Linked DNA regions of Bombyx mori. The protein of the gene in region 1 purifies or fractionates together with the protein of each later gene. This does not show direct contact. Links are inferred from orthologs where the notes say so. Each region holds a gene or a part of one and is shown in the gene's direction. Other genes may lie near its edges.

Region 1 (4,271 bases):
TAAATCGAAATGGTTATTATAGTTGTATGTTTTATTTATTTAATACCCTTCAAAATCCATGTCAACCTTCAGTGACTTTAGAAACAATTCTTGTTGATTCACCATCGTTAAAATAGTCCTACTTCCAAGATACTGTCTCATGAATGAATGAATAAACTGAACATGGCGCTAATCAGAACTGGCTATCTTAGTAAAAAAACCTGCCAGACTGTTATTAAGTGGATATCTAACTTTTTTGTGTAACTTGTCGAAAGGCAAGCAATTGCTTAAATTCCAACAGAACAAAGAAACATCAAACGGGAACGCTTGACTGTTTTGCGGCAGAAAAAAACCAGATTATGGATATCTATTCTAATTTATTTTTCAATTCACAGTTTATAGACGGTTGATAAATGAATATTAATATTCTCTAAATCTAAGAAAATCCTAAAATTAAATGAACCAAATAATACAAACCAGTTTTTCATTTTGTTACAATATTGCCGAAAAATAATATACATACATATATCTTTTTATTTTGAGTACTTTAATTAAGATAAATAAATAAGAAAAATGATTTCTGTTTTGAATGTAAATGCATAAAAGGAAATTTAATATCTAGGTAATATTTTTTTCGTAAGACAGTGCGGGATAAGCGTTTACATTTGTTTAAAGATAAAGGTATTGAAAGTAGAGATATTGAAACCAGCTACTTAGTTAGTTTTGTTAACTAACTGTACAGCTGTTTGATGAACGAAATAAATAAGAAAAAAGGAATTCATTATATATTTTTTGAAGTAAAACTTCTTTAGGCGCGTTGAGAGTGAAATTTAACTCGCGACAGATTCGTTACGGCTAGAGAGAAAAGATACAATTTAGGAAGAGCGAGAGTAAGAAAATAGGTAGGGCGTCTTGTGAACCACTCAACCGTGGAGAGAGGGAAAGGGCAAAGCGAGTTAGGTCGTTTTTTAATTTAGTGACATCTATTGGATTTCGTTTAACTACTACATTGCAAGACCATCGGTGTGAACAGTTTAGTTTCTAAATTATTTACAGAAGGCGGTATTTTAAATAAAAGTAATTATCACTAAACATATTATTATTGTAAAACCAAAGGACTCGTTCGGTAATCATCGAATACTGGTAACAACTTCTTTCTAAGTTAATCTTATTTCTCGAGATAAATTGAAGTTTCACTTCTTTCACGTGCACCAAGTTTTATACGCGCACCAGTTTTTTGTTTGTTTCCAAGTTCTGACAACAACCATAGAGAGATATACTTTTAAATGTGTTCTGAAATGAAGATGTCAATGGCTCAGAATGGCTGACACTGACAGTTTGAATTGACTTGACAATCGTCATCAAACAACATAGATCTGTCACAATCACAGCACAAGTGTTGTTTTTATAGCATTGTTACCAAAATAAAGTATGCCAATACTATGACTAAGAAAAAGATTTTTAAACAAATCAGAAATAATTCGGTCTAAAATTAAAATAACAAATAAAACTACAAGATGTCAGAGAAAGACAAATCCAAATCGGGTGGTCAAGCTAAGCACATTCCCAAAGATGCCCAAGTCATCATGTCCATCATGAAGGAAGTAGGTATCACTGACTATGAACCGAGAGTCGTGAACCAGCTCCTAGAATTCACATACCGCTACGTTACATCAGTATTAGATGATGCAAGGATATTTGCAAACCACGCAAAAAAGAAAACTATAGATCTTGATGATGTGAGACTGTCAGCTCAAATGCAATTGGACAAGTCCTTCACGAATCCCCCGCCCCGTGAAGTGCTACTGGAGATCGCGAGGGTCAAGAATGTTAATCCTTTGCCGTTGATAAAGCCGCATTGCGGGTTAAGACTGCCTCCGGATCGGTAAGTATTGGAAAATGTAGCACACTTTAATCCTATATCTCACAGCACATTATATTAATCTTTCGTGAGTATGGACTTAGATAATTTCTTCAAAAATCAGGATTAGCTTAAATAGCTCAAGGTTCAATCACCGGACTTGAGGGAAAAATACTCCACTTTAGACCACACGTATGTAATTTGCGCACCATGAATTGATTGCAACAATATTGTGTTCACAATCAAAGTTCAGTAAAGTCTTCTTGTAAACAATATCTTTAGGTGACAGATTGTCTTATTACAATTTGTAAGTAGTTACTGATACTTCAATACTGCCTGTTACTAAGAAGTCTTCAAACCTTACTGAAATAATGTCAGAATACTCCATAAACACCAATGGTTGCATTTGGGAGCCTGGTATAATAGTAAAAATGATGAATAGAAATACACTATGGACCAATTCCGCTAACAAAGGAAATTATGGAATAATTTTGATTAATTTTGTGTGAAACATGAGATTCCCTTAACACCCAGAGCCTTTTAATATGGTTAACTTGTAAATCGCTGCATGTTTACAGAGAATATTCATTTTTCCAGTTACTGCCTGTCATCCTGTAATTACAAACTGAAACCAGCAACCAAGAAAGTGATCACAAAAACTACGATAACCCCTTCCCCGTCCATAAAAACGGTCACCACATCCAAAGCACCTCAACAGACAGTTGTTATGAAGAGACCACCGGGAGCAATTGTGAATGTGGGCACCCCAAAAACCAGTCTCGGAACAAAACCTGTACTGAAATTTTCATCAAGCAGTAAAGTAAGAATTTGGTTTAATTTTAAAATTATAGAATAGATAAATAGACAGCACTATGCTTTATCATATTCATCACAGATTGAACTATTAAAAAGTGGTTTCTTTATTTCCTAACAATAATTTGAAATGTTGAAAACTGATAATCTATATTATGATATAAACAAAACGAAATATCTATTTTGTCTAATTAAATGTCAACTTATATTTGATAATATCAAAATTGCGTCACAATTTTTTTTTATTATATCTGATTATGTATTGAAATCTACATTATAAATTAAAACTAATTTTAATCTTTCATTTTTTATTTGCTTTACATTATTTCTGACATTTCATAGTTAGCACAATATTTAAATGTCAATGAATTATATTGCAGGTAGTAAAACCAGCTGTAAGAGTGACAGCTGGTCCTTCCTCACAGGCTCCTATCAAGATGGAGACAGACGAGCCAATGAGCCACAAACGGAAAAGAGAAGACGACGATTATGATCTATAAATAATTAATAGGATCACGATCTTTCTGCCTGGAATCAACATTTTGATATTAAAAAGTATCATGTGTTTAATCCTGTTTGTTTAGTGATTAATTCCATAAAACCTGATGATGCAAATTGCTCAGATTGTATGGTTTATATGACTAAGGGTATTTTAATTATTACTGTAGGTAGAAACAACAAAAAAATTGAATTTTTCCTGTTTTTTTTAAGTGAATCATATTTCAATGAAATAGCTTGCCAAAAGTTCTAAAGATAATATAATAACAGAAAGATTTAAGTAAGAGAATCTGAGATTAAAAGAGTCACTGTCTGACTGTGCCCTATAATTTAAGTAAGATCTGGAGGTGAACTCATACCGTTTTGATGCACAACTAGATTCTTTTTAATTTGCGACCGTATAGCTTGGCTGCCGTGCAAATTTTGAATTGAATTTGATATTATGTGTTGTAGTTTTCTAGATGAGAACAGGATATCTACAGTGATTTAACATACATTTAAGAAGGCATTAAAATAGAGTAGGTAAGATAAAAATGCATTCACAGAACTTGTCATCTACTACACTCGCGAGCAAAAGTTTGGAATCACTTACTTGAAATTGATTCCGCGCGATCTTGTGTACTAAATATTTTTTTGATAATCATAAAAATGAGATCATTTTAAAGGTTGAATTCCTAACTTTAAACTGATACCAAATTCATTAAAATCAAGCCAGTATTTAAGAAGTTATCTTGGATTAAGTGAAGGAATAACGAAAAAGACGTGTTTCAATTGCTTGATACGTCGCGAGTTGCGGCCTACTGACCCCTATAAAAGCACCTGTTATCGGATTTTCTTTATCAGTCGACTTTCACACGTTGACTGGTACATATCTCGGCTACTTTTGACTCTTTACCTTGTACGACAATTGGGACAACACCTACAGAAGTAGCACAAATCGTAGCCCTATTGCAAGAAGAGCTCAGCCAGCGGATTGTCGCTCGTCGGCTCCAAATAAGCCATTCCTGTGTTTCAAAAGTTTGCAAGCGCTTTCAAGAGACTGATAGCTTTATCCCGAGACCAAGATCTGGACGGCGCCGGGGCACATCGGAGAGGAATGACCGTTTTATCGTGTTAACCT
Region 2 (4,846 bases), on another chromosome or scaffold:
CTGTTCAGTGGTTCCTAATGTAGACTTATTATTTTGTGTATAAAATCTTATAAGATTGCTTTGCTTTGAATATTTTCGTGTTAAGATTATCAGACATTATTTCGGAGGAAAAAACATTGTATAATTTTATTACGAGCGTAAAATAAAATCATCTAAGCTCCATTAATAGTTGCTTCAAATATGTAAATCTGTGTTAAAATTAAATGACACATAATTATTACAACTATTTTGTATATAGATGCTGATTTTTTGTTTTGTCAGCTTGACGGTACCTACGTAGTGTACTTTGCTTTTTTTCTAGTAGCCTGCTTGCGAACTTGCTACTCGCCTCTTACCTTATATTAAATTATGAACTGTATTGAGCAATAGAATTAAAGAAATTAATTGAAACAGCAATGATAAGAACGCGAGATATTTTATTTTATGTGGTTGTTTATTATTTCTTTCGGTTTATTATTAAATATTATTTCTTCTTTCTCTGTCGAATCCGCGGCACTCGAAGTTGTGTCTGAATACACCATCTTGGCCAAATTTTTTATCTAGGCAGGGCCAACTTCGAGAAGGAAGCTGATAGGCGCGTACAGTTGGGCTGGGCTGCGTATGGAAAGCTCTGTCATATCTTTAACTCAGCAAACCAGCAAAGCCTAAAGATGAAAGTCTTCAACGATTGCGTGCTAACGGTCATGACATAATATGGCGCTCAAACGTGGACATTGACCGTAGGTCTGACTCGTAAGTTCAAAGTCACACAGCATGTTATGGAAAGGGATATGCTCGGAGTTTCTTTCATGGATCGAGTCAGAAATGAGGAAATCCGTCGAAGAACCAAAGTAACCGGTATAGCCCTAAAGATTAGCAAAGCTGACGTGGCAATAGGCCGGATATACGTATCGCAGACCCAATGACCGATACCCGATACCACATACCCGGAAGCGCAGTGCTGAACGTCCCGCTTCCCTGTGAACCGAAGACTTACGGTGATATGCTGGAGAAGATTGGATGCGGAAGGCGGAGGACCGTTCATTATGGCAGACTATGGGGAGGCGTACATCCAGCAGTGGAGAGATAAAGGCAGATGATTATGTAGGTTCTTAATCGTATTGTTTCTATAAAAGTCTAAGATGTGGTTTTCGAGCTCTTCCAAAAATTTATTACTTTATTCCATCTCACTTACTTAATTCCACAAAACATTCAATTTTATTCCTTAATTTCATTTTATACCTAAACTTTTTTACTGGGCAAGGAACATTGGTGTCGGCTTATTTTTTTAAATTATAATAATTAATAAATTATTGTTATGAGTATTAATTTTTTTGCCAATTTAGTGAATCAATCAAACATTTTTGATACTGGAGTTTATAGTTGTCTCGACTTTTTGACGGGAACGCGAGAAGCGAAGTTGTGTGAATTGTTTTATTTTGTCTATTTAGTGTTTCTTCAGGTTTAAATCTGTAATAACGGTGGCTTATTAACCTTTTAGTATCTGTAAAAGTGCACAAATGTGGGAAAATGAAACAAAGCCGATGGACGTAGCTTTTCGGGATCTTCCAAAATGTCCACTGAAAAAGTTTCAATAATTATTATCCACCATTTTACTGAGATTATACTTCATCCTATGTTATCTCATCTCATTTAATTTAATTTCATACCAATTGATTAATGTTTCAAATTAATCAACTTTGTTTTTTATTTCATTCTGTATTATCATTTTTCATAAGAAAAGGAAATAAACAATTAGTCGTTATGGTTTGATACCTTTGCCATTACAGTTAGAAAAATAGAACTTCTACTACTGTTAACTTAATGTCAACTCAAAATCTATGTCAAAATCTACGAGGCAAACAGCAAACACTCATAAATAAAGAATAATACCATTTGAAACAAAAAAATTGCAATGCAACTTGAGTAGCCTTATTAAACATTATACATATCTTAATTAAACTAATATTATGAACTTGGAAATGTAATTGTATTGTACTTCTTCGAACCATGTGTGATAGTGACGAACAAGGTGACCACAGCCGTTCAGGCTTGGATCTGACCGGGTTCTTGTTTGGTAATATTGACGAAAGGGGTCAGTTAGAAGATGATGGATTGCTAGATGGTGAATCGAAGCGAATGTTATCATCGCTTAGCCGCTTAGGTTTAGGGTCTATGCTCTCTGAAGTCCTGGAGGTTGAGGAACCAGTTAAAGAAGAGGAAGAAAAAGGTTAGTGTTTTTTTTTATCAATTTCGACTCTGCATTGTCGATGTTGAGTGTGTTACTACATTTGACGACACATTTGACTAAATTTGTCTAAATTTTGACTACATTTGAATAAACATGCCTTGAAAGTAAACCAGTAAATGTAATAATACTTTAGAATATGTGTTTGTAATTGTCACTACGGACCTTAAATGAATAAAATTAAAGGGGTAAAGCTAAAAAGAAGTCGTAGAATATCAACTGGGGATTTTCACATTTTATTCATTCTGTTTACACAAATCTCGAAGTACTGACCTGATTTTCATGTAGATTTTGTAGGTACTAGTGAGACAGAATATCTTGCTGCAGAAAGTAGGCTTTGCTTCATTACAGAAGAATGTTGCAAAAAATGTTATTGTCATTTAATTATTTTCGAAATTATATATAATTTATAATTAGTATGTAAGTACCTAGCTCTATTTGTATGTTTTCACTTCTAAACCACTATACTAAGTTTGAATTTAGTTTCGTGTCGAAATTATTACTGTATAAACCTTAGGAAATAATATGGCCTATATTTTGTCCCACTGCTGTAAATGGGTCTCCGTCACTCTTATATAAAAAGTAAATGGGTTGTGCACAGCTGTATTGGTAATTGAATGAAAGCCAAATAAAAAAAAGTAAAATAGTAAACAAATAGTTGTTGATTTTTATATTTCAAACCTATATTAGATATTAAGAAACCTTTTCATTAGTGTAAATTAGCACATTTTTTAAATGGTAACATGCACATAGACATCACATGGCAAATCAGTTTGAAGTCCCAAATGCCGAAATCACCTACTCTTGAAATGGAATGCTTGCTTATTTTCTAGTAAAAATATGCAGAACCTTTGCCTTACCTTTAAGTAGCTGATATAAAAGTTTTGAATTGGATAACCAATGGTATTATGAGAAATATGCACTTATGATGAGAATATGCACATAGATTAGCAGTGAGTAAGCAAACTTCAGTCATAAATCATACATAGTCAACAGTGAAATCCAAGTCAGGAAACTTAGAAGATAGTAGTTTCTTTTAGTATGGTTCAAACTACTGTTAAGGTTTAATCTCACATTTTCTTATGTCAACTGAAATTTTAACTTAACTTTTAAACTGAAGACATTATTAATTGCAGCAATGGTAAACATCTAATTCTTTATTTTATTTCATCAGACTATAATGAGAAAAGTCCATCGGCTGTGGACTTTTTTGACATTGAAGATGCAGCAGAGGATATAAAAGTATGTTTTTGATTTCACAAACCAACTTATAATATTGCATAGTATTTAATCTATTAAACAGCTATCTATTCTATCTAAACACCTACCATTATTTTAAAACTAATCACTAGCTCTGAAATAAATTTATGTTGGTGTTACAGGTAGAAAATAATGTGATAAAATTTGAAAATACTTCAGATGTACAAACTGTGCATAGCAGCAATGTTCCTGTGATTATTGATTCACAGAGTATTAAAGAGGAATTAAAAGAAGATACTTGGAGGGACACTGATATTGCAGGAGAACAAGAGGTACAGAGTACCAATGATGATGGCTATGAAGGTGATATGGAAGGTGATGGTGGACTTATGCCCCCTCCTTCGACAGTTCCGTTAGTATATTCTTTTCCAACTTATGAATGAAAAGGGAACAGATTCACCCAATTAGATAGAGAATTTCATTTTATGACAACACAAATTGCATAATTGCTAATAGTATGATATAATGTAACCAAATTAATGGCTTATATGTAAGTACCAATATGTTGCCTATTTCGTAATCAAAATTTAATTTAGTAGATATTGGTAAATACAGAAATACAATATGACATTAAAATAAAATGAAAATTAATTGTTTTACAGACCCCCCAAACAAGAAAAACCCAAAAAACTAGATACTCCATTGGCTGCAATGCTTCCATCTAAATATGCCAATGTTGATGTCACAGAACTGTTTCCGGATTTCAGACCAGATAGAGTGAGTAATATGTTGTTTTTAAATATTAACAAGAGCTGAATTCTCAAGCTAATAAATGTTATTTATTTGCTGTTTTCATGAAATTTTATTTGATAAATATTCATGTAGGTACTTCTTTTCTCTCGACTTTTTGGACCTGGAAAACTGTCCAGCTTACCGCAAATATGGCGCGGTGTTAAAAAACGTAGACGTCGAAAGCGCAGTGGAAGTACAGGCAGTGACACACCACCGATGGTTCCAGACAGTCAGGAACCTCAATATGCAAGTGACGATGAAGAGAAACTTCTCAAGTAAATATACTGAAGATTAAAACAGCATTTTCTTTATCAATAGCTTACTCTCTTATGTATGTATCCTTAAATTAATGATTTAAAAATAAATTTAATAACACTTATTTTAGGCCTATGGAAGAAAATCAACAGATGTCTAATGACGATAAGGGATTAGGCTCAGGAGACAAAGCACAAAGGCCAACACCGGCCCACTGGCGTTTTGGTCCTGCTCAAGTTTGGTATGATATGTTGAATGTACCAGAGACAGGTGATGGGTTTGACTACGGATTCAAATTAAAGGTATGGAACAACATCATGTATTTTTCTAAATATATTAATAAAATTATACTTTAAATCGTCTTCGTCTTAA
Region 3 (4,883 bases), on another chromosome or scaffold:
TATATCTATTTTTTCTTGTACTGCAATTAATTGCATTTGCTTTTAAATAGCTGTTCAAATTGCTTATAATACATTTTAAAAGTACATAATACTGTTTAACTTGCAGATATCTTTTTCAGAATTATTTGCTGATCTTAGTTATTTATTCACAAGACATTTTATCAGCCCTCACTAAGCCCTATGGTTTCAATAAATATAATATCAATCTGCTTCCCAATGTAAACGGTTACATATGATGGTTTTGAGCATCAGTTCACAACACATTTAACGAATATATTCTATATATGTTTGCTACTTACAGTTCAAATTTTCCGTATAAAGAAGATCGAACTCCTTTTCTATTTGAGAAAATAGCTCGTGCAAACGAGATCGGAATACTGGTGGAATTGAAGTTTCTGAATCTTCCATTTTGAGATAGTTCGGCATTCCGTCGGTACCTTCAGTTAAAGCTTGGAGTCGGCGCTTACTGGATTTCATGGTTGAAAGCAGAATGTTCAGCTGTAATCCGCTTTCTTATGTTACGTAGCACATGTTAAGCACAACTTTACTATAATTTGTAGATTTACTAGGTTGAACCACAAATTTTAAGTTTTAAAGGTACCGAGATATTTAGATGCCTTGCTGTTGTGTTGTAACAATAAAGTTTAATTTTGTATTCATTTATGTATAGATTCTCTGTCTACGCTCAAGCAAGATTTGAGAAAACTTGAATTAAAAACATTTCGCTGTCATATACAACAGAATATAATCTGTAGTAAGTTTTTTTTTTGGGATTTCAGACCTGGTATTTACAACCTTTAGGTCAAATCTGTAGTAAGGTTTTGGAGCTACAGACTAGTTAGAAATTATTTTGGATTTACATGTTCCATTAAGTAGTAGTTTTCTTTTTACCACTTACAGCAACGCTCATAAGGAGCATGTTACTATCACAGATTAATATGCAGTATTATAAGAGAGCTGCTTTTAAACTAGAAATTAACGAATTTCATTGGAATTATCACTATTTGTAAGACTAGTAACAGTTTCCTGGTTCAAATTTAGCTTAGGTCTATATTTTACGTCTATGGTTGCCTGGTAAGTTCGACTATTAATTTGCAAATTATACTGTACATCGTGAATTTTAATATCACCGTCCTTTTCTATACTTGCGTTAGGAAGAGATATTGTAGTAAAAATACGTCTTATCAGACATTCGACAGGAATGATGCGTCTTAGCTTAACGTTAAAAATCTTTTTCACACAGTAATACGGTTTTCTAAATGAGAGCATTAAATTACAAACAAAACAGGATTTTGATTTTGTCGAACTGTCTGTAAACTGTAACTGTAAAAACTGTCTCACACTTCAAACTAGAATGCATGATGGTTTCATGGAAGAAATACACTAATATAAGCCTCTTGTCGATCGCAAGACCTATATTGGTTTATTATTTCTGTGCATCGTTCATTGTTCAGTTTTCTTAGTTGTATTTTGTGACAACAACGGGAAGCGATAGGGTAGTTTTTTTTTCTACCTAAGCCGATAGCCTTGAGAGGCTATGTCAGTCAAACCTAACAAGTAGGTGAGCTCACGGGGCTCAAACCTGACGATTTTGCTAACACTAACCCTAGCAAGAGCAGTGCTTCGCAGAATCTACTACCGGATCGGAAACGCGACCCACTGTGAAGATCCGGCGAGAAACTCGGTGAACTGTGTCTGTGGGTTAATTTTCTCGCCGATGACCGGATAGGGTAGTGTTACTCCAATCTTGCGCTACCAAATTAATTTTCAAATACATAGTAGATTCAAATCTATTCAACATGTTAGAATGCGTAGTTAAGTTTTAGGAAATAAAATATTTTACAAAATATGTTTTATTACTCTGGTAACTCAAAATGTTTGGGAATAAAAAACGTAAAATGGCTTTGGAAATTTGTGCGCTAATCTGAAGCCTGCCAACGTACAAGTTTAAAGTTTGTTTTCACTGTAATAAAAATCATGTCATTTTCAGATCTTTACGCTAAATATAATTGTACATATTGTCAAGAGGAAATAAACGGCGTAAGAGTTAAATGTACTGAATGTGTTGATTTTGATATTTGTTTGCAGGTAAAGTAGTTGATACTGCCATTTTTGTTGATAGTTTTGGCGCAAAATTTAAAATTGTCACTTAGAAATTAATATGCAATAAAATGCATTTTCAGTGTTTTTCTCTTGGTGCTGAAATCGGACAGCACAAAAACGATCATTCATATCAGTTTGTGGTAAGCACTTTATAAACGACTACTGTAATACTATTACAGAAAGTAAATAGATTTTCAAGAGTGTTCTATTTTTCCAGGACTCTGGGGCTTTTGGAATATTTTTAGGACGTAGTAGCTGGTCAGCTAACGAAGAAGTAAGATTATTAGATGCCATAGAACAATTCGGCTTTGGTAACTGGGAGGATATAGCAAAACATATTGAAACAAGAACTCCTGAAGGTAATTTAATGATATAAGCTACTCAGTAATCTGCTGTCTTAGCACTGTGCTTCGGTTCATTTTTCAACATTGGCATCAAACAGCATACATTGCATGCCTTGGCAAAGAATACCTAGTATATGCATACTATTATTTGTAACTTTTTATCTAAATGCAATAACAATTTTCAAAAATAGCTTCTGCAACGAAAAAACATTGTTGAATAAAATATGGTGAATATTTCGAATTTCAATTTTTTTTAAAGCTTCAGCTTTTATATTTGGGTAGACGTGCTTACCGTCTACCTGTTGTTGTTAGGTGGTTACGGGATTCAAGAGATTTCAACTACGTAAATGTTACTAGCCACCTTTAGGCATGATTACTAAGTCTCAGTTTTATAATATCGAGGGGTGAAATGCTATTTGGTATAACGTACATTACCTTAGTAATTAAAGGTATACTTGGTATCAACAGTTCGATGTTTTTAGTTGAATTTCAATTTACGTTTACTCCATTCAAATAGCTGAAGACGTTTTTTGGTTATGATATTTTTTCCAATTTTTAAGCTTTGAATGGCCTTCCTGTAAAGTTGTCAAAAATGTCATTTAAACCGAATAGCCTTTTACTCCCTTGATATAGTAACTTTGCATATTTAATGGTGACAGCATGGTCACAACCATTCAATAATGTATATAAACTCACCACATGCAATGTTAAGACAGGATTTTTTCATGGGCTATGGAAGCTCAAAATATATATTAAACAAGAATAAGAAATATATATTAAACATTTACATTAAATAAATTTTGTTGGGATTAAATTTACATGATGCATATCCTTTATTTTCACAAGTAAAAAAGAATAATTTGGAAATAAATCATCCCATAAGTTCAAATCAACGATTTAACACCAGTACTAAAAATAATAAATAGGGTGAGAAGTAATTATTTAAATCTGTTGAGAATACTTCTAAAAATTGACACCGCAAAAGGACTGACCATGTCAATCTCAGATTCTTTAAGACCTCTGCACTCTTCTAAACTCCTTCCTAAACCTGTAACAGCGATGGAAGCATTGTAAACAAATATACTGAACTGCGACTATAGGTAGAGCAAAGGAGGTTCTGCTTCACATGGTGGCAGTGGTACAGTAGTGCTGAACTTTAGAAAGATTACCAAAGAATTATCATACTATATATAAATTTATTAATTAAATATAATAATAAAAATAAATAATAATCATAATCATCGTTCTTTCCTATTACCCTCTGCTGGGGTGTAGGGCTCGAATCAAATCCTTTCATTTACATCATTGTTATAAGAAAGACAAATAAATAATAATAACAAATAAACATAAATTTCAATTACAGAAGCAAAAGATGAATACATTACTAGGTACCTGGAAGGCACCATAGGCAAAGCAACATGGGGCAATATTGAAAGTACATCTCGCCCATCACTACATTGTGCAGATAAAGATGATGGCCCACTTGGTCCAACTGCAGTGTCTCGACTACCAAACCTAGCTATAACAGTAGACGAAGCAGCACAACTTGGGTATATGCCAAATAGAGATGATTTTGAAAGAGTAAGAATGAATTTTTTGTACTATTTACTATAATAAATTAAAATATTGTTCTACAAAGTGTCGAAATTTCAGGAACATGATCATGAGGCAGAGCAGTTGATCTCAACATTATCATTAAATCCAGAAGATGATGAATTAGATGTTGGTAGGTTATATATAGATATATATTCAATAGATAAGTGGTTTTTGGTTGATAAAATATGTGGTTTTTAATATAATAATATCCTTTTAAAAAAATCATAATAATGACTGATAGACTGCCGACCTTGAGCTTGAAATTTACATATGAATTATTCACTCTGAGACGTCTCTTATTTGATACATATTATGAACAGGCTAGACTAAAAGCTTTATAAGATCTGTATATCTATTTTATGATTTTAAAACGTCTCATAGCTTAGTTAAATACATATAAGATATATATAATAAATAAAAAATGACATATCCCGTTTTTTTTATTTTTTATAGCACTAAAGCTATCACAAGTTGATATATACATCAGAAGACTGAGAGAGAGAACGAGACGAAAAAGATTAGTTAGAGATTTCCAGTTAGTGTCTGTCTTCTTCAACAATCAGAGGAATAAACAGAAGACCCTAGGAAAACTTGCCAAAGAAAAAAAGTATGTACCAATAATATTTTTGAAGTATTTCAAATGTGTAGTATATAGATATGTTATGATTTTCGTGTTTTGACACAATTTAGACAAATATTAAAAAAGACAAACAATATTTAATCTATTCTCAATTTGACCACAGACTATAAGCAAAAAGAAAAGTTTGACAATAAACAAATAATATGCATTCGTGTGTGTGTGTAATGTTTTTATTTTTATTGATTTAATGTATTTTGATG

What was found. Proteins that work in one complex are often made in the same cells at the same time.
Region 2: the proteins of transcription initiation factor TFIID subunit 9 (region 1) and Taf1 purify together in Drosophila melanogaster (affinity purification with western blotting; 3 studies listed by BioGRID, with this or other methods). This does not show direct contact. The link is inferred for Bombyx mori from reciprocal best matches to the Drosophila melanogaster genes Taf9 and Taf1.
Region 3: the proteins of transcription initiation factor TFIID subunit 9 (region 1) and transcriptional adapter 2B purify together in Drosophila melanogaster (affinity purification with western blotting; 4 studies listed by BioGRID, with this or other methods). This does not show direct contact. The link is inferred for Bombyx mori from reciprocal best matches to the Drosophila melanogaster genes Taf9 and Ada2b.

Annotation. Positions count from the first base shown.
Region 1 is NC_085109.1:1,356,725-1,360,995, reverse strand, and holds transcription initiation factor TFIID subunit 9, read left to right. Parts: upstream 1-1,300; 5' UTR 1,301-1,496; coding exon 1,497-1,864; intron 1,865-2,437; coding exon 2,438-2,660; intron 2,661-3,033; coding exon 3,034-3,153; 3' UTR 3,154-3,223; downstream 3,224-4,271. UniProt on the Drosophila melanogaster protein: TFIID is a multimeric protein complex that plays a central role in mediating promoter responses to various activators and repressors.
Region 2 is NC_085123.1:8,778,373-8,783,218, reverse strand, and holds the start of Taf1 (transcription initiation factor TFIID subunit 1), read left to right. Parts: upstream 1-1,834; 5' UTR 1,835-1,989; coding exon 1,990-2,209; intron 2,210-3,401; coding exon 3,402-3,469; intron 3,470-3,609; coding exon 3,610-3,839; intron 3,840-4,089; coding exon 4,090-4,204; intron 4,205-4,312; coding exon 4,313-4,494; intron 4,495-4,604; coding exon 4,605-4,776; intron 4,777-4,846. UniProt on the Drosophila melanogaster protein: TFIID is a multimeric protein complex that plays a central role in mediating promoter responses to various activators and repressors. Largest component and core scaffold of the complex.
Region 3 is NC_085131.1:6,658,569-6,663,451, reverse strand, and holds the start of transcriptional adapter 2B, read left to right. Parts: upstream 1-1,871; 5' UTR 1,872-1,977; coding exon 1,978-2,088; intron 2,089-2,183; coding exon 2,184-2,243; intron 2,244-2,320; coding exon 2,321-2,462; intron 2,463-3,199; exon of another isoform or gene 3,200-3,810; coding exon 3,811-4,028; exon of another isoform or gene 4,029-4,100; coding exon 4,101-4,173; exon of another isoform or gene 4,174-4,496; coding exon 4,497-4,650; exon of another isoform or gene 4,651-4,883. Other genes in the region: WD repeat-containing protein 37, read right to left, coding at 1-20, 300-477. UniProt on the Drosophila melanogaster protein: Component of several Gcn5-containing histone acetyltransferase complexes that regulate nucleosome organization; involved in acetylation of histone H3, particularly on Lys-10 (H3K9ac) and Lys-15 (H3K14ac).